7 separate regions of the Mus musculus genome follow, and all the other regions are reported to be linked to region 1. Evidence: microRNA targets listed by miRTarBase, many of them from high-throughput screens and not tested one by one. Region 1 holds a microRNA gene; each other region holds the end of a gene's coding sequence. Distances are between the middles of the regions.

Evidence for each region. Region 1 holds the annotated microRNA mmu-miR-124-3p (UAAGGCACGCGGUGAAUGCC, at 1,918-1,937, shown strand). A microRNA usually pairs through its seed, bases 2 to 8, with sites in the 3' UTR of a target mRNA and lowers its output. Matches are read on the target gene's strand: a 7mer-m8 pairs with bases 2 to 8, a 7mer-A1 pairs with bases 2 to 7 and ends in A, and an 8mer does both.
Region 2: the mRNA of Dlk1 is a reported target of mmu-miR-124-3p. The part of its 3' UTR that is shown has no 7-base or 8-base seed match.
Region 3: miRTarBase lists Suclg2 as a target of mmu-miR-124-3p. Seed matches in the 3' UTR shown: 8mer at 2,745-2,752 and 7mer-m8 at 2,270-2,276.
Region 4: the mRNA of Pdk1 is a reported target of mmu-miR-124-3p. The part of its 3' UTR that is shown has no 7-base or 8-base seed match.
Region 5: the mRNA of Atat1 is a reported target of mmu-miR-124-3p. The part of its 3' UTR that is shown has no 7-base or 8-base seed match.
Region 6: the mRNA of Acp6 is a reported target of mmu-miR-124-3p. Seed matches in the 3' UTR shown: 7mer-m8 at 524-530.
Region 7: the mRNA of Tlr2 is a reported target of mmu-miR-124-3p. The part of its 3' UTR that is shown has no 7-base or 8-base seed match.

What each region holds. Positions count from the first base shown.
Region 1 is chr2:180,892,166-180,896,231 of GRCm38, forward strand. It overlaps Mir124a-3 (microRNA 124a-3), which reads left to right and starts at 1,875; the gene lies at 1,875-1,942.
Region 2 is chr12:109,459,992-109,464,057 of GRCm38, reverse strand. It overlaps Dlk1 (delta like non-canonical Notch ligand 1), which reads right to left. Exons shown (of 5, transcript NM_010052.5): 5 at 722-4,066. The coding sequence ends at 3,698. Among named protein-coding and RNA genes, the nearest start is that of Dlk1, 8.6 kb to the right of the region's middle.
Region 3 is chr6:95,471,750-95,475,815 of GRCm38, forward strand. It overlaps Suclg2 (succinate-Coenzyme A ligase, GDP-forming, beta subunit), which reads right to left. Exons shown (of 11, transcript NM_011507.3): 11 at 1,260-3,415. The coding sequence ends at 3,300. Among named protein-coding and RNA genes, the nearest start is that of AY512915, 140 kb to the left of the region's middle.
Region 4 is chr2:71,899,380-71,903,445 of GRCm38, forward strand. Pdk1 (pyruvate dehydrogenase kinase, isoenzyme 1) reads left to right here. Exons shown (of 11, transcript NM_172665.5): 11 at 605-4,066. The coding sequence ends at 745. Among named protein-coding and RNA genes, the nearest start is that of Pdk1, 28 kb to the left of the region's middle.
Region 5 is chr17:35,894,361-35,898,426 of GRCm38, forward strand. Atat1 (alpha tubulin acetyltransferase 1) reads right to left here. Exons shown (of 13, transcript NM_001142744.1): 11 at 4,028-4,066; 12 at 3,897-3,939; 13 at 3,235-3,555. The coding sequence ends at 3,381. It overlaps 2310061I04Rik (RIKEN cDNA 2310061I04 gene), which reads right to left and starts at 3,018. Exons shown (of 6, transcript NM_001033630.1): 1 at 2,831-3,018; 2 at 1,311-1,712; 3 at 924-1,012; 4 at 559-759. The coding sequence starts at 2,902.
Region 6 is chr3:97,175,980-97,180,045 of GRCm38, forward strand. It overlaps Acp6 (acid phosphatase 6, lysophosphatidic), which reads left to right. Exons shown (of 10, transcript NM_019800.4): 10 at 352-597. The coding sequence ends at 489. Among named protein-coding and RNA genes, the nearest start is that of Acp6, 19 kb to the left of the region's middle.
Region 7 is chr3:83,833,095-83,837,160 of GRCm38, reverse strand. It overlaps Tlr2 (toll-like receptor 2), which reads left to right. Exons shown (of 3, transcript NM_011905.3): 3 at 1-889. The coding sequence ends at 741. Among named protein-coding and RNA genes, the nearest start is that of Tlr2, 6.5 kb to the left of the region's middle.

The DNA.
Region 1 (4,066 bases):
TCCCACGGGGCTGGAGAAGGTTGGAAAGGGAGGGGGAAGAATTTATGCCTGGGTCATTTAGCTTCTGTTAGAGGGCAGGTGGTCAAGGGCTGGGTTGGCCCAGGGAGAAAGGATAGGACAGAGGCCTGCCTACTTCTGTGTGGTTCTTCCAGTCTGCAGGAACAAAGGCCCGCTGGGAAGGCCTAGAGTGGCGTGGGTTTTTTTTTTTTTTTTTTTTTGTTTTTTATTTTTGGAAAGCCGCTGATCTCTAGCCCTAAAGACCCAGATCAAGGTAGTCACCCTTCAATAGACTGCAAAGAGTAGATTCAATTGCAGTCAACTGTGAAGTATGGACTGTGTTTCTCCCATCCTCGTAAGCAAGGACTCGCTACCCAGCTAGAAAAAGGGTGAAAAAGGGGAGCAGTCTCTGATGGGGGTTGGGGGAGATGTCTAACTCCCTTCTCCACATAGGGCCGCCAGCAGGAGGCTAGGACCCCTTTCTTTCCCCCCCCCAGGAGAGAGAGGCTCAGAAGCCACTGTGTAGAGTGGTTATTCCGGAAGGACCAGCCGCTTGTGTGAGGCAAGCACAGTGTGTTCGCTGCACAGCGGGGTGTGGCTGGTGGTGGGTGTAGAGGAGCTGCGGTCGGTGGGCTGCGGGAGAAGCTTTTGCGTGGGTCGTGCAGTAGGACAGAATGAGCGGTTCGAGAGTGTCCAAGAGGCAGTTTCTCTGCATACGTGTGACCCCGGGGCGCCGGGCACAATCGAAGGCGTTCGAGGGCTGCATCCGTGTGAGTCGAGGAGCGCGCGGAGCGGGACGCCGAGCGTGTGCGCGGGAGGCACGGGTCGCGCGGTGCGTGAGTGCGCGTGTACGCGGTGCGCGTGCCCCTCAGTTCTCAAGGACACCTCCGAGAGGAGGCGGCAGAGCCGGTGTCGGGTGACGTCACCGCGCGCCCCAGTGATAATCGCCCGGTGCCGGAGCCGAGCGCGGATACGAGCGGAGGCAGCGGCGGCGGCGGCGAGCGCGGGGACGGTCGCACCCGGTCTAGGCAAGGAGAGTGGGAGTCAGACTCCCGCAGTGCCGACCTCGCGGACGCCGGGCTCCCACCCGGCCCTCAGGAATTTGCCCGGCTTCCTTGGCACTGTCCCTGCGCTCTCCTCCACCCGGGGCCGTAGCGTGCGGGTCCTGCGGGCGCCAAGAAGGAGGCGGAGGCGGGATCGGGCGACAGCGCAGGCTGTGCTGCGGAGCGGAGGCGGCAACCGAGAAGCAGCAGGCGGCGGCGGCTCGCGCCCGGACGGGTAACTGCGCTGGCGGCCCGTGCCGGGGCGAGCCGGTCTCTCAGGTCACCCCGTCTTTCTCTCCTCGAGCAGCTTCTCGCCAGCCAGAGGCGTAAGAGAAGAGAGCTCGGCGGGTTGTAGAAAGAGACTGCTTTTCATCTCCGAACATCGAGGTTCTTTATTTTCACCGCACTCACGCACTCCTGGTGGGGCCGGGAAGAGGAGCCGGGGAAGGGCAGCTGCGGAGAGGCTTGCGCCGCCGGGGTGGAGAGGGCTCTGCACCCGTCAGAAGACTGCAGCAGGCCGGAGCACGCGCGCTCACCCCGGCCGGCTCCTGCATCTCCCTCGCCGCGGCTCCGAGGGGTCCCTACTGCAGGAACGCCCCGAGGGATTTGCCCGGGCCCTTCTCTACCTCGGGGAGGGGAAGGAAAACTGGCTCCTCGGAGTTGGGGGCGGACCAGGGCAGCACTGCCAGCTTAGCGCGGAGCCCCGCCCCGCCCGCCCGCCCCGCGGCGAAGAAGCTGGAGCATTCGCGCCCCTCAGGCTAGGACCCCACGCAAGCCGCAGCCCGGCCCCGACCCGGTCCAGCCGCTCGCCGCCCGCCGCAGCCCTGAGGGCCCCTCTGCGTGTTCACAGCGGACCTTGATTTAATGTCTATACAATTAAGGCACGCGGTGAATGCCAAGAGAGGCGCCTCCGCCGCTCCTTTCTCATGGAAATGGCCCGGGAGCCCGGCCGTCGCGGCGCCCCTCCCGCGGGAAAAAGGCGAGCCCCGGCCCCCGGTGGCCCCTCGCTCCGCGGACAAATCCGGCGAACAATGCGCCCGCCCAGAGGGCGGCCCAGCTGCTGGGCCGGGGATCTGGCCGCGGGACACAAAGGGGCCCGCATGCCTAGGACGTCACGAGAAGGGTGGGGGCGACCGCGGGGGAGAATGTGGCCACCCGGCCCCTGACCACGTGTGTCCGCAGCTCTGAGTGCTCGAGATCCCGAAGAGGGAGACGAGGGCCAGAAGACAAAGGGAGGGGCTGGGGAAGCGGCGGGCTGAGGGGCGCGGGAGGGAAGTGTGCAGCTTCCCGGGTTGTGTTGGCGCGTCCCGCTACCCACGGGCAGTCCTGGGCGCTGTCCTCGGTGCTGGCCGTGGAGTCACCCAGAGAGACGGGGCGCTAATGCGCTTGGGGCGAAGGGATGTCATGAGTATCACTGTTCCCATCTAGGGGGCCCTGGATAGTTGCCGCAGCAACCCCAGAGAAATGGGGTAGGGTCTGGGGTCACTGCAGTCTGTCCCCTGGGCGCTCTAGTTGGGGTCGCAGGGTGAAGGCGGTGATCACTTTGATTCTGAAGAAACCCCTGAACCTTAGGTTGAGGTTCGAGCTGTGGAAGTGGGGGATCTGCATCTGCATCCAAGGTCTAAATCTGGGTGGATACACTGGACCGCATCCCGCCCCCAAACCTCTCTCCAGCTATGCGGGACGCGAGGCACGTGAGGCTCTGCAGCCCAGAGAGAAAATGACAAATCCTCCTCCTCCCTCCCCCACCACCATCTGCAGCCGCAGTGACACCCACTCAGGTCTGCTGCAGGCATTTTTTTTCCTGTCCTCGGCAGCCAGCGCCACCTGCTGGCGTCCTGGTATGAGACTCTGCTCTGGCATGTCTCCTCCCAGCAAGGTTTCCGATCCCCAAGGTTACAGGCCCTATTACCTAGGGCAATGGTTCTCAACCTTCAGAATGCTGCTACCCTTTAATAGAGTTCTTCATGTTGTGGTGACCCCTCCCCCCAACCATAAAATTATTTTCGTTGCTACTTCGTATTTTGTTGCTACTTCATAACTGCAATTTTGTTACTGTTATGAATCCTAATGTAAATATTTTTAGAGATAGAGTTTGGCAAAGGAGTCCTGATACACAGGTTGGAAACTGATGACCTAGGATTGACTGTCAGTGGAGGAGGTCACAACCTCTGCACCCCCACCCCCTCAGACAAGTTGCAGACTTGCTTTTCATCTTCATGGGGTGAGTGTGAGCCCCTTTCCTGGCTCTGACCCAGATCCAGAACTGACCGCCCAAATTCTCCTAGCCTCAAGTCCTGTGCAGTTGCAGAAAAGCAAGACAAAAGGGCCCGCGTGAAGACACAAAGAGATGCTGCAGGGAGACTGCTTCAGTACTCCATGGAGAGATGCACACAGTCACACACTCATAGACCACTAGTGCCTTTGCATCCTGTCCCCAAAGCAGAGCCTCTGCAGAACCTCTGCCTCTTGGAGGGTGGAGAAGGGGCCCAAGCATACCACAGCTCTGACCTTGGGCTTGCTGTCTCTTTTTCCCTTCCTCCCTCAGAAGAGCTGCAAGGTGAACTCAAAGCAATACTGAAGGAATTGGTAGAGGTATCAGTCCTCTAGTGTAAAGGTTCCTAGGGGGCACAGGACTATGCCCCTCGTTGAGCTCTGTTGGGGGTGCTCTACACTGCAGCCTGGCTCTTTTCCCAGAGGGAAGATTCCCCCTGCCTCTCCCCTGGAACTAGAGCTCCATTCTTGTGCCACCGCTGCCCTTGCTGGAGAGTTGGCTCCTGACCACAGTGACCTTCTGGGCTGTGAGCAGAGATCGGGGTGGGGAGGATGGTAAGGGAGGTGGGCTGGAGAGTGGATAGGCGGTAAAGCCCATGGCAAGCTGCCCTGTGCCCCAGCCCAGGTTGAGTAGCAATCACCTTCACTCACCTTCATTGCACCCCCTTCAGTGGAGGCTAGGGGCTTCAGTTCAGGGGCACAGGACCAATCTGGGCATGGCTAGCAGACATGGGGCATTCGGTAGGAAGGCC
Region 2 (4,066 bases), not on the chromosome of region 1:
GATCCCAGGTTCTGGGCCTGGGCAGCTGAGCAGGCAAGGGTGCACACAGGCCATGGGAGAGGCTGGAGATGGGATATCAGAGCAAAGATCACTTCTTGGGCCAGTAGGAACTAGACTGAGGCCTCCAAGGCCTCCAGAGTGGCGTATTCAGAGGGTGCACCGCTGATTTGACGCATGGCTACTGGTGTCCTGGGGTTAGAGGAATAGGTACTACCAGGACACACAGAGACTGAGTTAGGAGAGAGAAAGGAGCCTGCACACCTGCCATGGTCCAAGTTGCCCTTGTTGGATATCCTTAACCTATGTTCTCTCTCACCTTAGCATCAACCCTCTAATAACCCCAGAAAGGCCAGGGAAGAGTGCACAGAGCTCTCTCTGGGTCCAAACTTGTTGAGCAGGAAGAGCTTGTTGCTCATGTGTGGATCCCTAGGGCCCCTGTTCATGTACCTCCATTGTCCCAGCTCTATCTCCACCTCCCATGGGCTGCAAGGAGGGAGCAAGATACGGACAAGGTCCCCCAACTCCTGGTGGTCTCAGGCCTCCTGTAATTAGGAAATGCTGAGGTTTCAAGTCCCCCACCCTTAACCCTGTGGCACCAGGCCACATTGAAAGAGTTGGACCTGGTCCTCAATGGAGGTCCCAATATTCCCGGCCTATGTTTAAGGCCATCATGGGTGGGGCTGATGCAACTGGCGAATCGTAAGTAAATAGCAAACACAAGTAAAGCCCTTGTTCCTTTATTTAACAATAAACAAGGTTGTTGTTTCTTTTTGCATTGCGTCTGGACTTGCCTGCCAAAGAAAAAATATGGGGGAAGCTAGAAAGAGCGCCCTGGTGGACATTTCATTGACATTTTGGTTACAGAATTATCACCACTTTTAATTTGGGGTCAGATTAGTTTGAAAATGTCCCAGACAGCTGTCTTTTAGCTTCACCACCCGTTGCGTACACTGCACTACACCAAACACAGGAGATGTGTATGGGCAGCCAGAGATCTGATGCTCTCAGCAGATATCGTGAGGTCGCAGATGGACCCTTTCTGCGGACGTGAAGACCAGGGTGAGACTGCAAACGCTGCTCCTGTTGTGTGGGTGGATGCCGTGGAATTTTGACGGGGCCGCCTCATTGATGTTGGTTTCTTGATCTTTGGTCACGTTGGAAGGTGAGGTGGTGGCACTCTGAGGGAGGCACCTGCTCTGGACCATCCGGCTTCCACGGAGTTTTGGGTTTTTGCCTGCCCTGTGCTTGGCTTCCTGGGGGCACATGCATGTCTACTCCCCTCCCAGACTATGCCCCTCGGCCTGCACATCCCACAGCTCCAAGAACACTCACTGCCTTACACTCTGCAGGTGCTTGGAAACACTCCCTGGCTGGATGGATGGTGGATGATGGATCTTTTGGATGGAGGAGGAGTTGCTAAGAGAACAGCCGGGCCCCCTTTATCAGGAGAGACACAGAGACACGGCTGCTCTCCACAACAGGGAGATCAAAAAAAAAAAAAAGTGGCGTGGAGAAATAGGCTGTTTTGTCCAATTGTAGAATTCCAAATTGGGAAACCGAGGAGCAGAATTATTCGCAGACTCGGTCAAGGTCTCACGCTGAGAGGCCAGGAAGGGTATCAGAAACCCTCCTGGCATATGTCAATACTTTTTTTTTAAATTTTTTTCGATTTTATTTCTTAAAATGAACTCAAAATGAGATGGGATAATGAGGTGATTGTGATGGGGCTGGTTTGCCTCAGGGCGGGACTGATTGAGGCAGGGGAGGGGCCTGGAGGGAGGGAGGGAGGGAACCAGGGGAAGAGGGGCTAGGAGGCAGGGACATGGGAGGTGGTGGAGATTTGGGGAGCTGGGACACACCCTCATCAGGATGAGGCTGGGGCCAAATGGGGGAGGGGTTTCAGGGTGGGACTGGAAGGGGCTTGGGCTGAAGGTAATGAATGACCAATGGCTGGGGAGAGATTCTTTGAGTCAGGGCTTTGGGTGAAATGAACCTGGGGTAGAGGTTGGAGGGGTGATTGGGTCGATAATGTGTGACAACGGAGACGCGTATGACCAATGGCTGATGACCATGAAGTGTGTGCTGTGATCATGATTCGAACAGCAACGGTGACAATGACTTGCAAGCAAGTACTCAGAGCAAGGTAAACACGGCTCACACTTAAAGCTTAGGAGCATAGGTTCCTACCCAAATAATCTAAGAAGCAAAATATTCCTAACGGGGACCCAAGGACTGTGTAGCACCCAGACCCCAAACAAGAGTCAGGGAGCTACACAGGGCTCTCTCCCATTTCTTTCTACTTTTTTTTTGTTTTGTTTTTTTGTTTTGTTTTGCAAAAAAAAGATAGATGCTCTTTTAAAAAATAAGTCAAAATTCTACTTAAGAAGCTGGCTAGGTGTTTGGGGATCTGAGGGTCCTAACTTCAGCCACACAAAGGTACATCCATGGCTGTGGACAGCTGCTTTCCCGCTTTTGCTACAGAACAAGAAAACACCCCACAAGCCATAGTGTCACTAAAGCCTGTGCAAACCTTGGTGGGGGCTGCATTGCTCACTCAGATTCTGCCCGGGGGGGGGGCACTTGTGGTTCGAGGTACACTGAAGTCTGAAAGCACATCTCTACTCTACATCAGGGTGAGGGGCAGATATGGGGTGGGGTTTGAGGGGCATGAGGTGGAGTCTTGGGCTAGGGTAGGGAATGGGTTGCTCAAGAGGCAACACCAAATGGCACATTTTTGACCTAAAGGGGCCAATTTTTCCCAAACTGGACATGAGCCAGGAGGCTCCCCATTTTGAGAAACGCTATCGGGATCGACGTCAATATCAAGTGTACAGCCAGGATAGGCCAAAACCTTTCGGATCCCAGGATGAGACCAAGTCTCCATCAGGTCCTACTCTTGGAGTCAAGAAGTGTTTTGGTATATATCCATCGTTCCTAATTCTGAATTTGGGAGCTAGAGAGGACTTTGGTGTTTGGGTGTCTGCACCCCTCCCTTATGGGGAGGGGTGGGGAAGTGGCCCAGGGTTGGAGGTGGGGGAATCTCGCCAAGGGTCACACAGCGAGTGCGCAGCTGGGTTAGGACTAGGTCCCGACCTCTCTGCCAGCAGCCAACCTGGGGTCTCTCTCTGCCTGGCACACAGCCACTACACACTGCAGAGTCACAATCAATCGGAAAGATCTAAGGGTTGCGGTGTGAGACTTGATGTGAGTGTGCGTGAGAATTAACGAACGAAAGAGTTTAGCCCTTTTCACAGTGAGTGGTCAAGCACAACACTCTTATGGTTTCACGAGGACCTGGTGGCTGACACCCCCCCCAGGAGAGGGACCTCAGCACTAAGTCCTGGTTCTGTTACCATGTTTTTTTTTGGTCTTTTTGATATTTTATATTTGATACTTGATAAGAGTTTAGAATAACATACTTATTTCTTTAACTCATTTAGAGATGAAATTCTTATTATTATTATTCATTATCATGCATTAATAGGGAGGAAGGGGTTCTTAGATAGCGTGGTAGCATGGCACACAGCAACACAAGACAATATATGTAAGCATAGCGTTCACTCGATTCCACACAATAGAGCAAACTCCACCACAAAAAGCGCAGACTGCGTAGAGAGCTCTAAGGAACCCCGGTAATAGAGAAGGGCCTGGGGTGGGGTGGGGTGAAGGGCCTGGGAGTGGGGGTGGGGAACGCTGCTTAGATCTCCTCATCACCAGCCTCCTTGTTGAAAGTGGTCATGTCAATCTTCTCGGGGAAGATGATATTGACCGCCAGCTCCTCGCCGCTGTTATACTGCAACAGGAGGTTCTTCTTCTTGCGAAGCATGTGGTTGTAGCGCAGGTTGGACACCCAGGTTTCGCACTTGTTGAGAAAGACGATGGCCACGGTGCCCAGCACCACCAGGCTGGTGAGCACGCCCAGGATGGTGAAGCAGATGGCCTGTCCCTCGGTGAGGAGAGGGGTACTCTTGTTGAGCTCTTTCATGGACACCTTCAGGATGTGTTGCTCGGGCTGCTGAACAGGCAGCTCGTGCACCCCGGGGGTCAGGCGGTAGGTGAGCCCATA
Region 3 (4,066 bases), not on the chromosome of region 1:
TCCCATAGGGTCAAAATTAGGAAAAACATATTCCCTACTTTTTCGTTTCTGTTTCACCTTGATGCCGACACCTGCCCTTCCCAATTCCAAGGCAAGAACAGGCCACTGGCTTTTGGTTTGGTTTTGAAATCTAAAGTGGAGGTTAAGATGCTTTTCCTGTGAGGGGCCAGAGATTAATATTTTAGGGTCATGAGGTTTCTATGACAACTATGTGAGCTGTTGTAGCATACACATGGCCACATAACACACAGAAACTTAATGTACTCTAATAGGCCCTGTTGCCTTAGTTCGGCACCTTCAGGTCACAAAGTCTATGTAATAACACACCCTGCCCCACTCCTCCAATATTTATTTTTTACTATTTTTATAAATTCTATCACTGTATTTTTGAATATATATTAGATCCTGCCAAGGATCTCATTAGACTTATAAATGTATAACTTAGAAGTGTCAAAAAGAATTTTTATTCCCATTTGTATTCAAGTTTCCAATTTAAAAACAAACATAGTTCTTCACAGTGATTTTCTTTTCCTTGAGGAGTAAGCAGAGAGAGGACACAGACACATACTGTACAAGGAGTCGTTAAAAGCCATGCACACGAAGGTCTGGTTAGGTTAGGTCTAGCCAGGTCCAGTTATCTGGAAACTTTCCCTGCTGGTTTACTAATTTATGAATGGAGACAGAACCCCAACGGAAAGGCTCTGACTGACAAATGCAATAGGCTAACCAAGTCAAAGAAATGGATGGTAATAAGCGGGAGAGTCAGAGACGAATCTCTAAATACAGTATCTGTCCTAGGAAACTGTGGCCATCAACAGTAGAAGAACAAGCCAGTTACAAACCCACACACACTGAGCAGTTCAGGGGTCATCTTTGGATATTTAGACCGTTCTTTTCACGGACATTCTGTGCTTTTACAGAGCCAAAGTACTGATAAGGAGCGCTAGGAAGACAGCTCAGTGGGAAACAGTGCTCGTTGTGCAAGCGTGAGGATCTGAGGTACAATCCCTGGCATCAACAGAAAATGCTGGGCATGGCACATATGCCTGCAACCTTGGCTCTGTAAGAAACAGAGATGGCAGGACAGCAGGATCACTGGCACTTACTGGCCATCAGTCTAGCTCCAGGCTTAGTGGGAGGCTCTGCCTCAAGTGAGTAAGGCCTAGTAACTGAACAGAACATGCAACATCCTCATGTGGCCTCTGTACACACGCATGTACACATGCGTGTACACACACACACCCCACACTACTGACAAGACTGAAAGGTAACTATTTTAATATTTTTATATAGTTACAGGCTGTTAAGAAATTCAAGACATGGGACACACCAGAGTAGGGCACATAGGGGGACTTAGGAACCAACAGCATAGCTGCAGCAGATTCTCTATGACTAAGTATTGCAGGGTCCGTTCCACACACTTCAGGATACAGGCATGATACTGGTACAACATCGGGGATTTGAGCAATCCAAACACACACAATTGGCACTTCAGAAAGAAAGAAAGGAGGAAAGACAGAAAGACAGACAGACAGACAGACAGAAAGAAAGACAGAGAGAAAGAAAGAGAAATAAAGAAAAAGAGAGAGAGAAAGAGAGAAAAAGAGAAAGAGAGAAAGAAAGAAAGAAAGAAAGAAAGAAAGAAGGAAAGAAAGAGAGAAAGAAAGAAAGGAAGAGAGAGAAAAGGAAGCTCATTTGAAGAGAAAAACTATTTGCCTATTATTAACTAATATTAACCCTTCTATAAAATAACTACACGTATGCTTTCGTTTCTTTCCCCTCCAAACTGGTTGATTAGAAACATCAATATACAAGATAGACACAGTTCCTTTATTGTTTGCTAACTGAGGAAATGCACATTTACTTCTATTTAACTGTGCAAACTAGTTAGTCAGCTATCAGAAAACAGGAGATTTAAAAAGACCTTGTCAATAGTCTTCACTCCTTGTCATGTTTGAGAAAAGACGCAGGATTTGATCTAGTCGATGTTTCTTTATTTCTCCACGGCACATGTGGATTTATCAAGTGAAGACTTTTTATTTTATCAATCTGTGAACTGTGTGAGGCTAACATGAAATAAAGTGTGGCTCGCTGTGCCGGGGCGTACGGATGGGAAGACTGTTACACCGACGTGGCCCCTGCTACACGGCACAGTGCGTGACTGCACCACACCACCCTGACCACCGTCAGGGACAGATTCCTGGGCTTGTGTCTAATGTGTACATGTTAGCCCTTCACTGAATCACCACCACAGAAATGGTCACATGGCAAGGCACTGTGGCGCTGGAACAATCCGGGTCAACTGCAGTTTCTTAACTAGAGCTAGGCCTCTGGCACAGAGGCTAGTGTCTTCACAAGAACAGATAACAGACAGAAACAAGAACTGTGAGGCTAAGTAGCACTGAAAAACAATTTTATTTAAAATGTATAGGACTATAAATTTATCAAAATTAAATCAAAAAAATCAAGTTAAGAAAATTCCTGTCACAAAAAAGGACATCATTAGGAAGGTCACATTCTGTCCAATGGCATCTCTCATCTTTCTGTGGCAAACTGATAGATGTGAGGTGGAGGGGACAAGAGGGAAAAGCCTGGCCGCTACCAGCAGCTAGATCATTAGTGTGACTCTTTATGAAATAGATTAACATTCAGCAACTCTGACACAAAATGAAACCTTCCACCTCACACCCATGACTAAGGCTTCTGGTAGTAACTTAGTGTGAGGCAAACAGTAGATTCAACATTAAGGCACAGGGTAAAATGTGTGCAATGTACATATATCAACACGGGATGCCCAATATAAGCCACACTTTAGAAATGTTCATGGGCTTTCTTAATGTACTGGAATTAGGGGCCAGTGGAGGCCACTGGTCACAGAAGCTCAGGTGTCTTAGCTGTACCCTTCTGGAAGCCACTATGTTAAATATCAGCCTGTCTGAACTTGAGGGTCCTGTAAAATTTTCTAATGTAGAATAAATGCCCTTGTGAATGAACCTAGATCTGGCTTTAAATACTGTATGTATGCACACTATTTGGCTAAACTGACTGTGGCCCAGAGCTGGTAGACCCTGCTACTGAATGGGCAAGAGAAGATGTGAAATTGTAAGGAGTGATTTTTTTTTTTAAACAATGACTACAGTATAAATTCAGCTTTAGGCACTCTGGATAACGTATTTGAGAAAGTTCAGAGTTAATATTTTTCACATGATGATCCTTGTGTGTGTCCCTTCCCAGTGAGAAAACAATTGCTTTCACAGTAGTCAGGGACATGCCCTTCTTCATGGGAGCCAGGGAGAGCATCACTTCTTTGCCACACTGGCAACAGCTTTCTTGGCTGCATCCTCCAGGTCCACAGCTGACGTGATGGGGAGTCCGCTGCTCTTGAGGATATTCTGAGCCTCCTGCACATTAGTTCCTAGAAGGGGGAACAATGGGAATTGATAAATTAGTTTGACAGGGGCACACCCAGTCAAGTTGGACAACTGCAATTCCAGGATGCCCGGTCTCCTTGATGCCAACAATTTAAGTAGAACACATGTGGCTTTTTACTGCCAAGCTCTGGCTTTTCAGATATGCCCGGCTGACATTTTCAGCCCCTCTTCTTTTCACTTTAATGAACTCTCATTAGAAAGACACTTCCTGTATTGTCCCTGGCACTCCAAAATGAGAAATAAGCATTCTTCCAGATCATGCATACGCACAATGTTTCTCAGGCACCTGCTCAGTAAGTTTGAAGGAAGAAAGTCTGCACTGGGCCTGTCTCTTCCCCGCGTCTGGGAGAAGAGGCTTGAGAAGTGGCCTAATGTTGGGAACCGCCCCCACATTCGCCGTCACAAGATGGCGCTGACATCCTGTGTTCTAAGTGGTAAACAAATAATCTGCGCATGAGCCAAGGGTATTTTATGACTACTTGTACTCTACCTTTCCCGTGAACGTCAGCTCGGCCATGGGCTGCAGCCAATCAGGGAGTGATGCGTCCTAGGCGAAATATAACTCTCCTAAATAGGGAAGGGGTTTCGGTTTCATTATTGAAGGGGCTTTCGTTTTTGGGGCTGGGCGCTGGGCG
Region 4 (4,066 bases), 110 Mb from region 1:
TTAATTTTTATAGAAGATTATTTTATGTGTACAAGTGTTATGCTTACATGTGAGTCTCTGTACTACATGTCTGCCTGGTGTGTGTGGAAGTCAGAATAGGGCATAAGGTTTTCTGGCTCGGAGTCATAGGTAGTGGTGAGCCAGCATGTGTGTGCCAGGAACCGAACCCAGTTCCTGTGCAACAACAAGTGCTCTTAACCACCGAGCCATCTCCGTTCCTGCATAGTAACGCTTTTAATAATACATTACTATATAGTGAAAAAGATTGGCTTTCTTCTCAATAAATCTGTGTATGAATATTAAGGTAGTAGTAGCAGACTCCTGGCTGGGCTTGCACTTTTCAAGAGATGTCTGTTCTGCTTGGGTAGACTTTTCCAGGCTGGCTAGCGGATACCTGAAGCATCAAACCCAACTAGTGTGTTACCAGTGCTCCAGTTGTAGTAAATAGCATTTCCTAATGTATCCACCCTGAAGATGGTGTGTGGTTAGTAACTAGTTGATGAGATGCCAGCAGAACCCTGTTTACTTTGTGGTCGCTGTTTGCCACTGTATATTATCTCAGATAACGAACTCTCAGAAGTGTCTGACTTCTTTTCAACCCCAGGCTCTGTCGACAGAATCCGTCGAGAGACTCCCTGTGTACAATAAAGCCGCCTGGAAGCATTACAAAGCCAACCACGAGGCTGACGACTGGTGTGTGCCCAGCCGAGAGCCGAAAGACATGACCACATTCCGAAGCTCTTAAACGCACATGGGACGCCTGGCACATCCACATGTGGTTTCTGCTAAATTTGGAAGACATGTATTTGGAACCACACTGTTCCAAATATTTCACGTGTGATCTTCACAATTAGTGTTTGCTGAAGCTCCTAAAGGATCGGTTATGCCAACTGTATTCTGATGTGTTGGGTTAATTGGGCGTGGTTTTGAACACACATAATTTTGGTCAACTACCCTTGGTATGGTATGGGGTGTGAAGTTCCTGGTTTCTGTAGGAAGCTGAGTATTTCTTTCAAGTTTTCACTTACTTCTGCTAGAAGCATCTGAAGAACGTGGAGTAGCTGGCTAGCGGCCTCTCTGCTTTTGGAGTTCTATCATCTGTGAGTGGTGACACCTAGTCAGATGGTCTTCTTATCTCCCACGAAGAACAACACAGTGATCCGTTAGAACCCACACAGGTTGTCAGAGTGCTGAAATGAATTGATCATGGCATCATTTTTTTGCAGTGGATTGTAATGACTGGTTCCCCATGGAGCTAAGTCCAGAGCGTGGTTATCGAGTTTACTGTCAGCACAAGGGATTTTCTTTAAAAACAAAGTCTCACTGTGTAGCCCCAGCTGGCCTTGAGCTTACAAAGCCCTCGGTGTCCTGAGCGCTGGAATGAGAAGGGTGTGCCACCACATCTGGCTTACAAGAGAAACGTTAGTCCCAAAACAAGCCAAATGGCAGCAGAGAGTAAACTGTTTGGGAAGCACCAAGTGGCCCAGGCCGAGCTGACCGACTGCTGAGGTGATCTGAGGATGAGCGTGAGATTCTCTGGGTCCCACCCAGGGATCCAGAGGCTGAAGGCCAGGGACCAGGTGAGGCTCATGGCTGGCCTGGCTGGAACTATATTTGGGAGTGAATCGTGACTACTGCTGTTGTCAGAGTGACAGACTAGATTGGGAAGCTTGTCGGGTTGCTACACATTAGGGGACATAATCTGAATCTCAAGCCTGGTGCAAGCTAAAGCATTAGCGGGAAGACCAGGGTGACAGCGAGAGGTCAGGTGACCAAAGGCTCAGCCACCTTGGTTTCCAGTGGTGACTAAGAACATGTATTTTTCTAAAATATCCAGATTTTTTTTTTAAATCAAAGAAAAGTCAGCTTATATTAACTACAGAATTCATTTGCAGCTATGTGTTGATTTAAAGTCTGCAACAAACGCTTTGAAGTATTGATGTTATTTGTGTTAGAATACAAACCTATGGAGCAGGTAATGACACCTGGGTTCTCTCTCAGTGACCCAGAGTCACACAGAATTGGTGCCCCAGCCTGAGCTGTCTCTGCTGATCACTGTCCACTGTCTGGGATATTTATAACCTCCTCTGTTAGGTGATGGGGAAGTACTTGGAAAACATGCTTTGCCACTTGCCTAGAGGGATTTGGGGGTTTGGTTTGGAAAATGTAGTGAGTTAAAACATGTCACTCTTGACATGTTTTATCCAGTCTTCACTCTGTGTCCTACACATACATACATCTGTAATACAAAAGCCAAATCATGTGACATGGCACAAAATAGAACTTTGGTGCCAGTGATAGGAACATGCAGCCTGAGCATGCGCCAGGGTGGTCAGCCCAGATCCTTAGCTGAGAGGTGAGGGGCCTGAAACTCAGGTCCTATTGGCCCAGGGTTTTTAGCTAATACTACCAAATGTTGGAAAATATACACCGTATACCTGCTGTTTCTAATTGAGGACTTTGTAAGAAATAATAGATCATGCTCCTGAGTGGCATTTATTCAGTGTATTGCACTTACTAGCTTTCAATTACACTTTACTGCAATGATGAAATATTTTGGAATCTTTTGTACAACTGTCAATAAACGTACTATTTTTACTTGTGAAATACTTTGCCCTCTCCAAGGAATTAAAAAAAATTATCCCCCTCTCTGCTTAAGAGCTAAGAAATGTTTTCAGACAAGAAGAATTTAAAATTAGTTTACTTTAGATTCTTTTTAAGGTGTAGCACCTTTTTGCTCTGTTGTAATGGTAATGGATGGAGACAATGTGACAAAGCTCTAGGGGACGCTTTCCAGAGTTACTTTTAAAGACACCTGGAAGGTTTTTAGATTCTTAAGGTGAGCCATTTTGTCTGCCAGCGATAGTTTTATGTGGTTTAGGTATGAAAATAGAGTTGATGGTTGGGGAATGGACAGCAAGTGATTTTTATAACCTGGGCAGTTAGTGAGTGTGCCAGTGTAGTGTAGGAAAGGATTGTAAGAATATTTCACCAGGCAGTGGTGGCGCACGCCTTTAATCCCAACACATGGGAGGCAGAGGCAGGCGGATTTCTGAGGCTAGCCTGGTCTACAGAATGAGTTCCAGGGCAGCCAGGGCTATACAGAGAAACCCTGTCTCGAAAAATAAAAGACTATTCCACACTGTAATTCCAAATGCTGGCTGGTTTTGATGCCTTTACATTTAATAATGGTCAGTGTCTTACACTGAGATTTCTACATGAAGACATAGAAGCAGAATTCTACCGCAGCGTGGTGCATTTTCGGGGTGACTGAAAACTGAAAAGATGGATCAGCTTTAAAAAAAAATTTGAGCCACTTAAGGATCTTAGAAATATACTCGTGTCCTTTAGACAGCAGTCTGTTTCATCATCAAGACTCAATATCTGTACAGGTTCAACGAATTGTAACTAGTTGCCAGCACTGGCTCAGTGGGTAAAAGCATGGCCATCAAGCCTGGGTTAGGGATAGGGTTGGAGATCTTTCCTCAGCACGAATGGTGGAATTAGAGAAAGAACCAACCATCCTGTGAGTTATCTGTGGTTCTCCACACGTGCACTGTGCACATGCGCATCCCCTACATACACCACACTAATAACTGTAGCCAGGTGTCTTGCACTCTCAACCATCTCCTAGCAGTGCTTGAGGCAGGCTTGCACTGTAGATAGCCTAGTGGGCAAAGCAGGTAGAGTTCGTGTGCTTAGAGTTATCCTAGATTTCCCTTTTCTAATACACTGCCAATGATTGACATGTGCTGGAGAACTGGTGGATAATTTTGAAGAGCTGTATAAGTAAGTCATTTTCCACAGTAGAAATAACAGTAGGGAAAGGCTTAGTGTAACTGGCACTGCCTTCTACTCAACACTGGTGGAATCTCCTTTAGTCAAGACAGAGTATGTCCTATTGCTCGTTGATAGCGTGGGTCCACCACGCCTGCCTTTCACCGTTACAGCGGCATGGCGGCACACACCTGTAAGTAGATCTCTGAGCTTGAGCCAGCCTGGTCAACATAGGGAGTTTCAGGTTAGCCAAGGCTACATGTACGGACCCTGTGTGCTGTATTTTTTT
Region 5 (4,066 bases), not on the chromosome of region 1:
GAGTTCTTTTTTTTTTTTTTTTTTTTTTTTAAAGATTTATTTATTTATTATATGTAAGTACACTGTAGCTGTCTTCAGACACACCAGAAGAGGGAGTCAGATCTCATTATGGGTGGTTGTGAGCCACCATGTGGTTGCTGGGATTTGAACTCAGGACCTTTGGAAGAGCAGTTGGGTGCTCTTACCTGTTGAGCCATCTCACCAGCCCGCCACTGAGTTCTTAACAGACACAAAAATCCACTAACTTTTTGAAAAGCAGGCTGGGCCATTGAGATGGTTGTGTACAGGTACTTGCAGGCAAGCCTGAGGACCTGAGTTCAATCCCCAGGGTGTGCATGGTGGAGGACAGAACCCATTCCCACAGGCTGTCTTCTAAACACTCACTTGCTCTAATGTACACTACCACATGCACACAAACATGTTATTTTAAAATTTAAAAAGATAGACTAAAAATCTCTACCCTCAGTAAGATGACAGCCAAATCAGGGTAAGTTAAGGACTGCTGGAAGACCAGCAGTATTAGGGAAGCCACTGTAGTTTCGGCCCCTTCCCTCTTACCGGTAAAGATCCTCTTTATCACGCCTGTAGAAACGCAGGAAGAGCATATGTATGGGCAGACCTATTAGACGCCAGCGGGCTTGCAGGGTCCAGTTCTCAGGGTGGCGGGTCAGCTGTAAAATCTCCAACCGAAACTGTGCAAAATAGTTCCAAACCAGGAAGCGGCAAAGGGTCAGGGACATAACATAAAATGTCCGGCCCCTGTGAGAATAAAGGGACAGGAATATCAGGACTGCAGAACCAAAACTGATTCTGCCAAGGTGTGGGGGAACAGTCTCAGGAAGCAGCTAGAACCTTCTCTGGGACAAGACCCAAGTATTTATTTAGCATGGGTCCTCTTCTCCCTCCCTCGTCCCAACTCTCACTTGGTACGAATGTTCAGGATCTCATTGATGAATTCCACATCCATTGAATATATAGTGTAGTCATGGGAGCGAAGGAAGAGGGTGGGAAGCTAGGTGGAAGAAGAAGGCATCAACTCAGCAGGAAAGGTTCAGTCCTTGAGCTTGGAATCCTCTTCCCTCAACCTCCAGAGTATAACCAGTTTGGCTCCTCAGTAATCTATCTTTAGGGTCTTCTAACTTCCACTCACCCTCCCCCACCCCCGCCCCAAGTGAAACGGCACTTTCAATTTAATGGTCCTTAATTCAAACAGGGACACCCTTTCCCCAAGAAGGCATTTCACAGCACAGTAACGAGGACAAGTTAACTGACTAGTCTCCATATTTCCCTGCTACAGATGGGCTGCTTACCTCTTGTCTTAGTCTCTCATGCATGACAGCCAGGTGTTCCTCCATACTCTCATCTCCTGATGGAGTGGTGGGGGAAGAGTGGGAAGGTCCAGGGGCTTGGAAAGGTATCACAGCCCCAGGATAGGGGCAAGGCGGTCCCTCAAAAAGGCTCCTAAGCCCATCCAGGCAACCACTGTGTAGTTCCGGTCCTGGTCCCTTCTCCCTCTTTCTCGGAGGAAGAACCATACTCAATGAGTTGAGAGCCTGGGCCTGAGAGAGAGGTGGTGGAGGAGCCTGGGGAAGATGGTGGGTAGGAGGATGTGAGGGTGGTAGTGACCGGTGAGGAGGAAAAGATGGAGAAGTCGGTGGAGTGGAGTGGGGCCAGAGCGGGGGGAATGGTAGAGGTCGAGGAGAGAGCTGGTCCTAGGGAAAAGAGAACAAAAAGAAAAAAATCAGACATCTAAGCATGGTGGTGTAGGGGCTACCATGGATTCCAGGCCAGCCAGGGCTACACAGACCTAGTTTTAAAAAACAAAACCAAACAAAGGAACAAGAAATCAGCTCATGCTCCTCCACCCCAGCTGGGCTGATCAGAAGCTTCAAGTCCTACCTGCAGAAGAGAGTTTACCAGAGGAAAGGGAGACATGAGGAAAGAGCGCAGGAGGACAACAGCACCAGGGCCACCGTCCCCAACTTTAGAAAGAACACCTATGATTCCATCATTATCCTGGTTTACTGCTCCATGGGAGAAATGATGCGATCTATATATAACATGTATCAGGATTCTGAAATAGAGCTGTGCAGGGCAAAGAACATCCAAGTGAAGGTGTGAATAGTTCTGAGTTGACTCTGTTGGAACCTCTGGGCACTCTGCCTGCACCTCAGTTTCCAGTAAATAGAGGAGAGGCCTATATAACAGGATGATGAATGTATAAACTTCGTCACCCATAAAGTAGTACATAAACGGAAGCTATTATCATTATATATTACATATATATTCTATATTATCATTTTCTGCACCATTAAATGACAATCGGGCCGATTGCTGAAGGGTGAACTCGGTCACTAACGCTGCTACTGCAAGGATGGCAGGTCACCCGAGGTCAAGCCTGATTCCAAGTCCCTTGGCGCCCAGGAACCCCAGGGGCAGGGGGTCCATGGGGCCTGGCCGAGCCCTCTGGGAGCCTTCCCCGTCGCCGGGGGCGTGGCCGTGCTCCCGCCGTCCCCCGGAGCCCGACCCGGTGCAGCGGCCAGCCTTTCGGGCAGGACCGTTCTGCAGGTGCACCACAGGCCCGCAGTTCCGGCCTCTCTGCCCTGCCCTTCAAGTCACCTCCAGGCACAGGTAAGAACGGCGGGGACCGGGGCCACCCGGGATAGCCGCTCCCCGGACCTCACCGGGAACGCCGGCCCTAGCGGGCCCCGCGCCCCTCACACGTGCAGCACACGGGTGGTCAGGGGCGGCGGGGGCCTCTGCGCCTGCGCGGCCCGGCGCCCCGCCCCTCGGCCGGCTCTGAGGAGGGTCTCCGCCCGCCCCTCCTCACCTGGGGTCGCGCCTGGTAGGCGCGGAGGCAGGGCCCGAGGCGCCGGGCGGCCCCCGGGCTCGGACGGTACATGGTGTTCCGGGAGTGAACGGGCGCCTCCCGCGTCCCGTCTCCGTCTCCTCGCCGGGCAGCGCGCCCCGGAGCCGGCTTCGTGAAGGGGAAAGGAGGGAGGGGGGGGCCGGGGCTAAGGGAGGAAAACGGAGAGACCGTGCGCCTGCGCACAGCGGGCCCGCAGCAGCCCAGGCGCCGCTACGCGGGAGTGCGCTTGCGCACAGCGGGCCGGGGCGCTCCCAGGGCGCCTGCGCAGCCTCTTGTCAGGCCTAGCAAAATGAGGGGAGGTAGGACTGAATATAGTTTCAGGAGAGAGACTGAGGGGCATGTGAATTTGAATAATGACAAGTCACTTTTTGTCGGTAGCTATAGTGATAACAAATAAATACTTTTATTGCTCTGGTTAAAAATAACGATACAAAGGATCTGAGGCTGACAGGCCTGTTGAATGAATGAGTGAATGAATGCATCCATACTGAGGACTAAGCTTTGGCCATGGTTACCAAGGCCTGGTGCTGCGGCGTTCCTGCAGGTTTCGAATGACCCTGGCGTTCATTATGTCCCCACCCACCGTCCAGGACTGGGGGGGTGGCGCCTGGGCCCTTGGAGCACCTGTCTGTGTAGGCTCCTCCCCAGACCCATCCAGTAACAAGACCCGATCCTCACTGGCCGACCTGGTGGGCAGGGAGATGAAGCGTGTGTTAGAGCTGCTAACGGGGAATTACGCTGAGACAATTCTTCAAGGTTGTGGGTGCAGGGTAATGTACAGACACCTGTTGGGTTTTAAGGCTGGGACAGTTACCACGGTGTCCAAACTTAAGTACTCAGAGCACGACAGAGGGGAAAAACACCAGAATTCAAGCCACAAGGAAGAAGGCTTATACGACGTTAGGTAGAAAGATGTGTGGGGGAAACTGGTATCCAGTTCACACAGACTTAGGAGGAAGCAGGAGGAGTAGTGTTAGGCAGTGTCAGAAGGTGCTGGCAGCTGTTAAGGGGGAGGTGTAGACCTCACCTATCCTCCGCTTCCTGTTCCCCCTGCTTCCGTTCTTGGTTGCCTGTGGAAATACCAGGCATCTAGGGAGACTGTAGTCGTATGTGTGTGTGACCTATTTGGTTGGAGAATAAGAAAAAGTGGCTACTTACCTGTACCCAGGAATGAGGTATTGAATCCCCCATGGCGGC
Region 6 (4,066 bases), not on the chromosome of region 1:
CTCCAGCTCTCCTGAGTGTGTCTGCCAGGCTGTACCTTCTCACTGTGAGGCCTGTTTTAGGAAGTCACAGAGGTGTCTTGGTGCCCTGGCTAACCCAGCATTATTGATGTCTAGGAGAGGAACTGTGTACTCTGCAGGGGTGGGACTATTAGCTCTTTCAGCTCAAGGCCAGAACTCTGCTAAGGCCTCTCATCTAGTCAGTCAGGATGCAATGCTTTTTAGTCTGGAAACTTGGGTCTTCCTGGCTGTTACATGTGTGCTCATCCATACTGTGTGGCTGAGCCTCTGGGCTCAACTAAGGGCAGAGGGTGGAGCTCTCTACAGACCTGCTGACTTCTGTTTCTTTTCCAGGAGCAGGTACCAAGGGGCTGCCCCGACAAGCTCTGTCCACTGGACAAGTTCTTGAACACCATGTCAGTTTACTCTGTAAGCCCAGAAAAATACCGAACACTCTGCTCCAAAACACGAATAGTAGAACTTGGAGAGTGACTTGTTTACACAGACAAGTTGATTTTTAAATAAAGTGCCTTTATATAAAAGAGCATCATGTTGAGATCAAAGGGGGGAGGTCTCTACATGATTTTTATTTTATGTCTGAATGTTTTGCCTGTGTGTAAAATCTGTGTACTGCTTACATGACTGGTGCCCTACAGAATCCAGAAGAGGGTATTAGATACCCTGGAACAGGAATTAGTTAGAGATGGTAGTGAGCTGCTTTGTGGATGCTGGAAGCCAAACTTCCCCTGGAACAATAGCCAGTGCTGGTAACCACTGAGCCACTTCTCCAGCCTCATGACAAAGGTCAAAGCATTGGTGTGAGCCTAGGGAATTGTGACACTTTGGGACTCTAAGAACTTTTCTTCTTGTGTTACTCAGGCTCTGTTAAGTCCTGGTTATCAGAAAGGTGGTAGGTTCTACCTTCAAGTTATTGCAGTTCAGTGGAGAGAAACATAAGTAATTGGTGGCTTATAGGGCAGTGTCTTAAGCTAGGACAGTATATTATGTGCAGTGTTCTGAACATGGGAACAGACCTGCTCCTTCTAGTAGGGGTTACACAGACAAGCTAAGTGGTCAAAGTTGACACTGGAGTAGTAGTTAGGGTTGAATTCAGCATTCATGAATAAATACAATCCAGAATGTATATAGACTTAAGGACGGGAATCACATGGTCATCTCAGTAAACAGAAAAGCCTTCTGGCAAAGTCCAACATCCCTTCATGATTAAAGCCCTGAAGAAACTGGGAATAGAAGAAACATACCTCAACACAATAAAGGCTGCGTATGACAGACTTACAGCCAACATACAATAAAGGAAAAACTAAAAAGTCAGAAATAAGACAACCATGTCCACTCCATTTACTCAATATGGTGCTTGAAGCCTTAGCTAGCGCCATAAGGCAAGAGAAAGAAAAGAAAGGCGCACAGATAGGCAAGGAAGAAGCCCGATTACCCTGTGTGCAGACGGCATGGTCCTATGCATAGGTGACCTAAAGGGCCCCCAAGGAAACAAGCTTAGTGCAACAGGATGCAAAATCAGCATTCAGACATCAGCTGCCTTTTTATAAAACAATGACAGAAGACAGGAAATTAGTCCCAATCACAATAGCCTCAGAAATAAAAATGGGTTTAAAAGTAAGAAAACTAAGCAAAGAAATGAAAGACCTTGGCCTGGTTAGATTTTACTGTCAATGTGGCAGAGCTAAGTCACCTGGGAAGGAGGAGTCTCAGTTGAGGAATTGCCCAGATCAGATTGTCCTGTATCTAGGTCTGTGGGGGATTGTCTTGATTGCCAGTTGATAGGGGAGGGCCCAGACTATTGTGGGCAGTGCCACTCCTAAGACAGGTGATCCTGATTGCTTACGGAAGCTAGTTGAGCAGTAACTAGAGGGAGCAAGCCAGTAAGCAGCATCCCCCGTGGTTTCTGCTTATATTCCTACCTTCCCGCCATGACGGATTGTGTAATACCTGGAAGTATTAGATGAAATACACTCCGTCCTTCTCAAGCCACTTTTGGTCTTGGTTTGTGACAGCAACGGAAAGCAAATGAGAACAGACCTCTACACGGAAAACCTTAAAACACTGAAGACACTACAGGAAGGGCTTCGCATGTTCACCAGTCTGCAGTATTAATTCTGTGAAAACGGCCATACTACCAAAAGCAACCCATAGATCCGCTGCAACCCGGCAGAACTCCAGGGACAAACCTTCACAGAAACAGAAAAGACAACCCTAAAACTTAGAGAAGCACAGAAGACCCCAAATAGCCAAAGCAATACTAAGCAAAAAGCAGTACGGAAGGTCCCATAATATGTCAAGTTACACTACAGAGCCATGGCATCAAAACCAGCATGGTATGGGCTGGTGAGATGGCTCAGTGGGTAAGAGCACCCGACTGCTCTTCCAAAGGTCCGGAGTTCAAATCCCACCAACCACATGGTGGCTCACAACCATCCGTAACGAGATCTGACTCCCTCTTCTGGAGTGTCTGAAGACAGCTACAGTGTACTTACATATAATAAATAAATAAATCTAAAAAAACCAGCATGGTACTGGCACAAAACCATGCATAAACCAGTGGAATGGGATGGCACAGAAGGCCAAGACAAAACTTCCTGGCTGTGGGCACCCAATTTTTGACAAATATAAAACACACACACCAGAAAAGCCAAACGTCACCAATTCCGTGCTACAAACACTGGATATTCACAGGTAGAGGAATGAAAGTAGATCCTTAGTTATCACCTCGTACAAAAATCAAAAGGGAGCAATGGCACCGGAGGCCTGAAACTCGGGTCTGTCAGTGAGAGAGAGGAAAACATGCAGAGAGAGGCACGAGCCAGGGTTTCCTGACAAGTGCTCCAGCTCAAGGAAAAGTTGCAAACGATGAAGAGGATTGTATGAAATTCAAAATCTTCCTCAGATAACGAGAAGCAACGAGAGACAGGGAAGAAACCTTTGCCAGGCTGACAGGGCACTAACGCCTCTAAAGAACTCAAAAGGAATTGAACACTCTCGCCTAACACACACCTCACAACCTCTGTGTTGGTTTGAATGAGAATGGCCCCATAGGCTCAGACCCTTGCAGTGTCCTTGATGGGAATTTTTGGGAAGCGTTAGGAGGTGTGGTTTGTTGGGAGAGGTGTGTCACTGGGCATGGGCTCTGAGGTTCCAAAAGACACCCCTCCCCCACCTCCTACCTGCAGGTGTTTTAAGAATTTTTCAGCTGTTGCCACCATCATAGACTCTACCCTCCAAAGCCATAGGTCCAATAAAGCACTTTATTTTATGAGCTGCCTTGAACACGGTCTTTTTTTTTTTTTTTTTATCACAGCAATAAAAAAGTAACTACAAACAGCTCAATAAGTGGGCAAGCACATAAACAGTAAAGTTTGAGTGCCTTAAGTATAAGGGGGAAAAAGTGCTCAAAACACCTAACCCTCACAAACAGAAAACCCACACTGATTTCATCTCATCCCAGTAAGAAAGGCTGCAATGAAGTGGACCAGCAGCAAATGCTGGTAAGGATGTGGGGAAAGGAACCCATCCACGCTGCTGTCGGGAACAAAAACTAGTCCCTGTGGAGATTGCGGAGACGTTCCTCTAAAACCTAAAGCTAGATCTGTCGTACAATGCAGCTGTACCACTCTGAGGTGTACCTCAAAGCGTACCACAGAGACACCTGTGGGTCCACATTTTCTGTTGCTCCATAGTTCTCCATTGGCTAAGCTATGGAACCAAACTAAATGTCAATCAGTGGAGGAACGGGTCAGGAATATGTGGTATGCATACACAAAGGCGTTTTATTCAGATATCTACAGAACAAAGGAATATTTGCAGAAAAATGAATCAAGCTGTAGCAAATTGTATTAAAGAAACTATCAAAGCCATTGTCAGAAAGATAAGGTTTTTTACATGTGGGTCTTAGAGTGTATATATATATTTACATGTTGATATAGTTATAAAGATAGATGACATGAAACTAGAAGAGGATTATATAGGAAAAGGAAATGCAGAAAGGGTAAACAGAGACAAATATACAGTATGATTGGATGAAAATATCCATGAA
Region 7 (4,066 bases), not on the chromosome of region 1:
TGCGAACTCCTATCCTTTACTATGGAGACGCCAGCTCTGGCTCAAATCCTGGTTGACTGGCCAGACAGCTACCTGTGTGACTCTCCGCCTCGCCTGCACGGCCACAGGCTTCAGGATGCCCGGCCCTCCGTCTTGGAATGTCACCAGGCTGCACTGGTGTCTGGAGTCTGCTGTGCCCTTCTCCTGTTGATCTTGCTCGTAGGTGCCCTGTGCCACCATTTCCACGGACTGTGGTACCTGAGAATGATGTGGGCGTGGCTCCAGGCCAAGAGGAAGCCCAAGAAAGCTCCCTGCAGGGACGTTTGCTATGATGCCTTTGTTTCCTACAGTGAGCAGGATTCCCATTGGGTGGAGAACCTCATGGTCCAGCAGCTGGAGAACTCTGACCCGCCCTTTAAGCTGTGTCTCCACAAGCGGGACTTCGTTCCGGGCAAATGGATCATTGACAACATCATCGATTCCATCGAAAAGAGCCACAAAACTGTGTTCGTGCTTTCTGAGAACTTCGTACGGAGCGAGTGGTGCAAGTACGAACTGGACTTCTCCCACTTCAGGCTCTTTGACGAGAACAACGACGCGGCCATCCTTGTTTTGCTGGAGCCCATTGAGAGGAAAGCCATTCCCCAGCGCTTCTGCAAACTGCGCAAGATAATGAACACCAAGACCTACCTGGAGTGGCCCTTGGATGAAGGCCAGCAGGAAGTGTTTTGGGTAAATCTGAGAACTGCAATAAAGTCCTAGGTTCTCCACCCAGTTCCTGACTTCCTTAACTAAGGTCTTTGTGACACAAACTGTAACAAAGTTTATAAGTAACATAGAATTGTATTATTGAGGATATTAACTATGGGTTTTGTCTTGAATACTGTTATATAAATATGTGACATCAGGAGACCGGTTTCTCTGTTTTTCTTTATCTCTCTCCTGTATTGATATCTGAATAACCTGTTCACTTAGAACATCTGGAGACAGCACATTTAGACTGACGGTTTAGTGCCTGTATCCAGTCAGTGCGACATAGGGTGGCTAGAGAAAGCATTTGCTAATCTACTCACCTGCCATCCCTCTGTGTAGCTGATCCCAAGGGCAAGGAGTCACAGTATTTGGGGCATCCAGGCAAATCTGTTGCTCTTCCTAGACAGGGGGTTGTGTCCCACCATCCCACCAGATCTTCCAATATAAATGACACAGGCTGCATTTTTGTGTGAACTAGGTTTGTCTTTCTGAGTCCTTGATAGTTTTCTCTAAGTATAAATTACCTATTAATTTGTAAGGATCTGAAAGAAGTCTCCCATGTCCTGGTGCAGATTTCCACTGGATTTCAGCTATTAATTTCCAGTGTCTGGTTGCTATGGTTTCTGACCCCCTTAGGCATTCTGTTGCTTTTTCTCCTGTGCAAAGTCTTATAACTAGTTCTACGAAGCTTTTCTTTTTTTGTTTTGTTTTTTTTGTTTTTTTTTTTGTTTTTTTTTTTGAGACAGGGTTTCTCTGTGTAGCCTTGACTGTCTTGGAACTCACTTTGTAGACCAGGCTGGCCTCGAACTCAGAAATCCACCTGCCTCTGCCTCCCGAGTGCTGGGATTAAAGGCGTGCGCCACCACGCCCAGCTGTGAAGCTTTTCTTTTTCTGTCTGAAAAAGAAAATGTGAAAAAAAGATTTTTAAAATAATTATATGCCCAGAGGTTTCTTATGATTCAAAATAACTCCATATGTGGTAGATTCCACTGCCTTTAACGTTTATAAGTAAGATTTGATCATGTATCACATTTTAATGGAATTTACTAAGGGTTCTTCACTGATTCTCGGCAACTTTCTTCTGGTGCTGGGAACCACATGTACAAGGAAATGAACCTCCTTTGACCCCTTTCAAATTCTCGGCCAGAGCTGGGTTTATGTGGTTAATTGGGTTTTGGCGTCAGAGATACTTAGCTTAACAGATGTGTGATTTTGAGCAAGTCACTTGGCCTAACCCAAAACTTTTTCCCATCCTTAAAATGGGCAGCAAGCTCTGTGCATGCTGGATTATGCACAGGGTTTGAGCTGAGGTAGAAGAAAACCATACTTCCTGGCTGCCATTGTGGCCAGAAGGGTTATGGAGGCAAGGCTATCAGACTTATCCAAATGGGACCTAGGGGTACTGTGGAGTTAGATAGTTATAGATAGTTGCTACTGATGTTACTGTTTTACATTAGTGTGTAATGAGCTTTAGTGTGGGAAATTATTCAATGTTTCTTTCTTTCATAAGCTCCCAGGAGAGTACTGGGCAGAAAACATAGGCCAGCCTGTGAAATAAGTGAACATATTCAGATTATTGTTACCCTTGAGGAGAAACCACAGAAATCCATCACAGCAATAAATGTACTTCCTACTTTCCCACTTCACACGGGCATCTCCACCAAATAACCCAGAAAGCCCAAACAAAGACTCATTTCTCTATATGTAACTATATATTTAGCCAGAGAAGTGTTGACTTGACCCATTATCAATTTTAAATAATTTAAACCACAATAGAAATGGCTTCATAGTTTGGTAAGTTAAAAATGACCTTTAATCTTCATTATTCATAGAAATGAAAACTACTTTCAGTGAAGTGGCCGGATGCAAAATTATACACACGCGCGCGCGCGCGCGCGCACACACACACACACACACACACACACACACCCTAATAACCCCCTATAACCAGTAGCAGACACACTCACTTTCTTTCTTCAGTGTGTTAACCATTTTCATTGTAGAGGTATTTCAGTTGTCAGTGAAATTTAACGCCCACCCCCAGGGGGCTGTCAATGGTGACATCGTTTGCCTGGCTGAAGAAGACACTAAGATCTGCTCTGCTCATAGATGCAAAGCATTTCATTATGAAAGTGGCCGTTCTATCAAAAGCAGACCACAGAGCCAATGTGACACCAATGAAAGCTCATATATTGTTCTTCATAAAATTAGGAAAAAAGTCTTCACAATTCATTTGGAAGAAAAAAAAAAACCCAGATGATGAAAGTCATCCTAAGCGAAAGGAACGCTGCTAGAAGTGTCACCATAGCTGATTTCAAACTATACTGGAGAGCCATAATAACAAAATTAGCATAGTGGCAGCACCAAAATAGACATGTGTGCCAGTGGGATAAAGTAGAGATCCCAGTTATAATACAGACAGGACAAAAGGCTGAATCTTCAGCAAAAGATGCTAGGAGAACTGTGTGTCTATACACAGAAGAATATAGCTACACTTTATCTTCCATTCTGTACAAAAATCAACTCTAAATAGAGCAAGTACCTCAGTATAAAAAAACTCTGAAACTGATAAAGGAAATGGTACCAAGAAGTGGGTTCTTTGCAATGATATTTTTACCATTTGTAAGCCTTTGAAACTAGTTTGTGGGAATAATGTGGAAGAAATTGGAACTATAGGTGCAACAAGTCCTTGCTTGCTATACTCAGAGATTACTGGCCATTCCACTAGGCTTTTGAAATACCAGAATGGCAATAGAAATGCAGACAGTAGTATCGGTTATTTTTTTATTGCTGGGATAAAACACTATGACCAAGGCATCTTTGAGAAGGAAGGGTTTATTTGGACTTGTGGCTCCAAAGAATAAGAGTTTATCACCATTATGACGGGGCAGAATGGCAGCAGGCAGGAATGGCTACTAAAGCAACAAGCTGAGAGCTCATATCTTGAACTACAAGCGTGAAGTAGAGAGAATAAACTCGGAATAATTCAAGTCTTTAAACTCTTAAAGCTGGTTCCAGTGACTGACTTCCTCTAACACTGCCACACTTTCTAGGCCTCCCAATCAATGGCATCAATAGTGAACCAAGCACTTAAACATTGAGCCTATGGAAAGCATTCTCATTCAAAGTACTACCAGAGTCCAGCATGTCATTCTTGGACCAGTTCATTCCAACTGGTCTTATGTATTCTGTTGGCTAAGTTCTTTTTGCCACATGAACTTACTTCTGCAACAAATATTTCTGAATGGTTCCTCTTGCTGGGCACTGCTTTAAGTTCTGCTGTAGGAGATGCAACAGATGAAACTTGGCTTTGTGGAGTGGAAGACAAACAGAA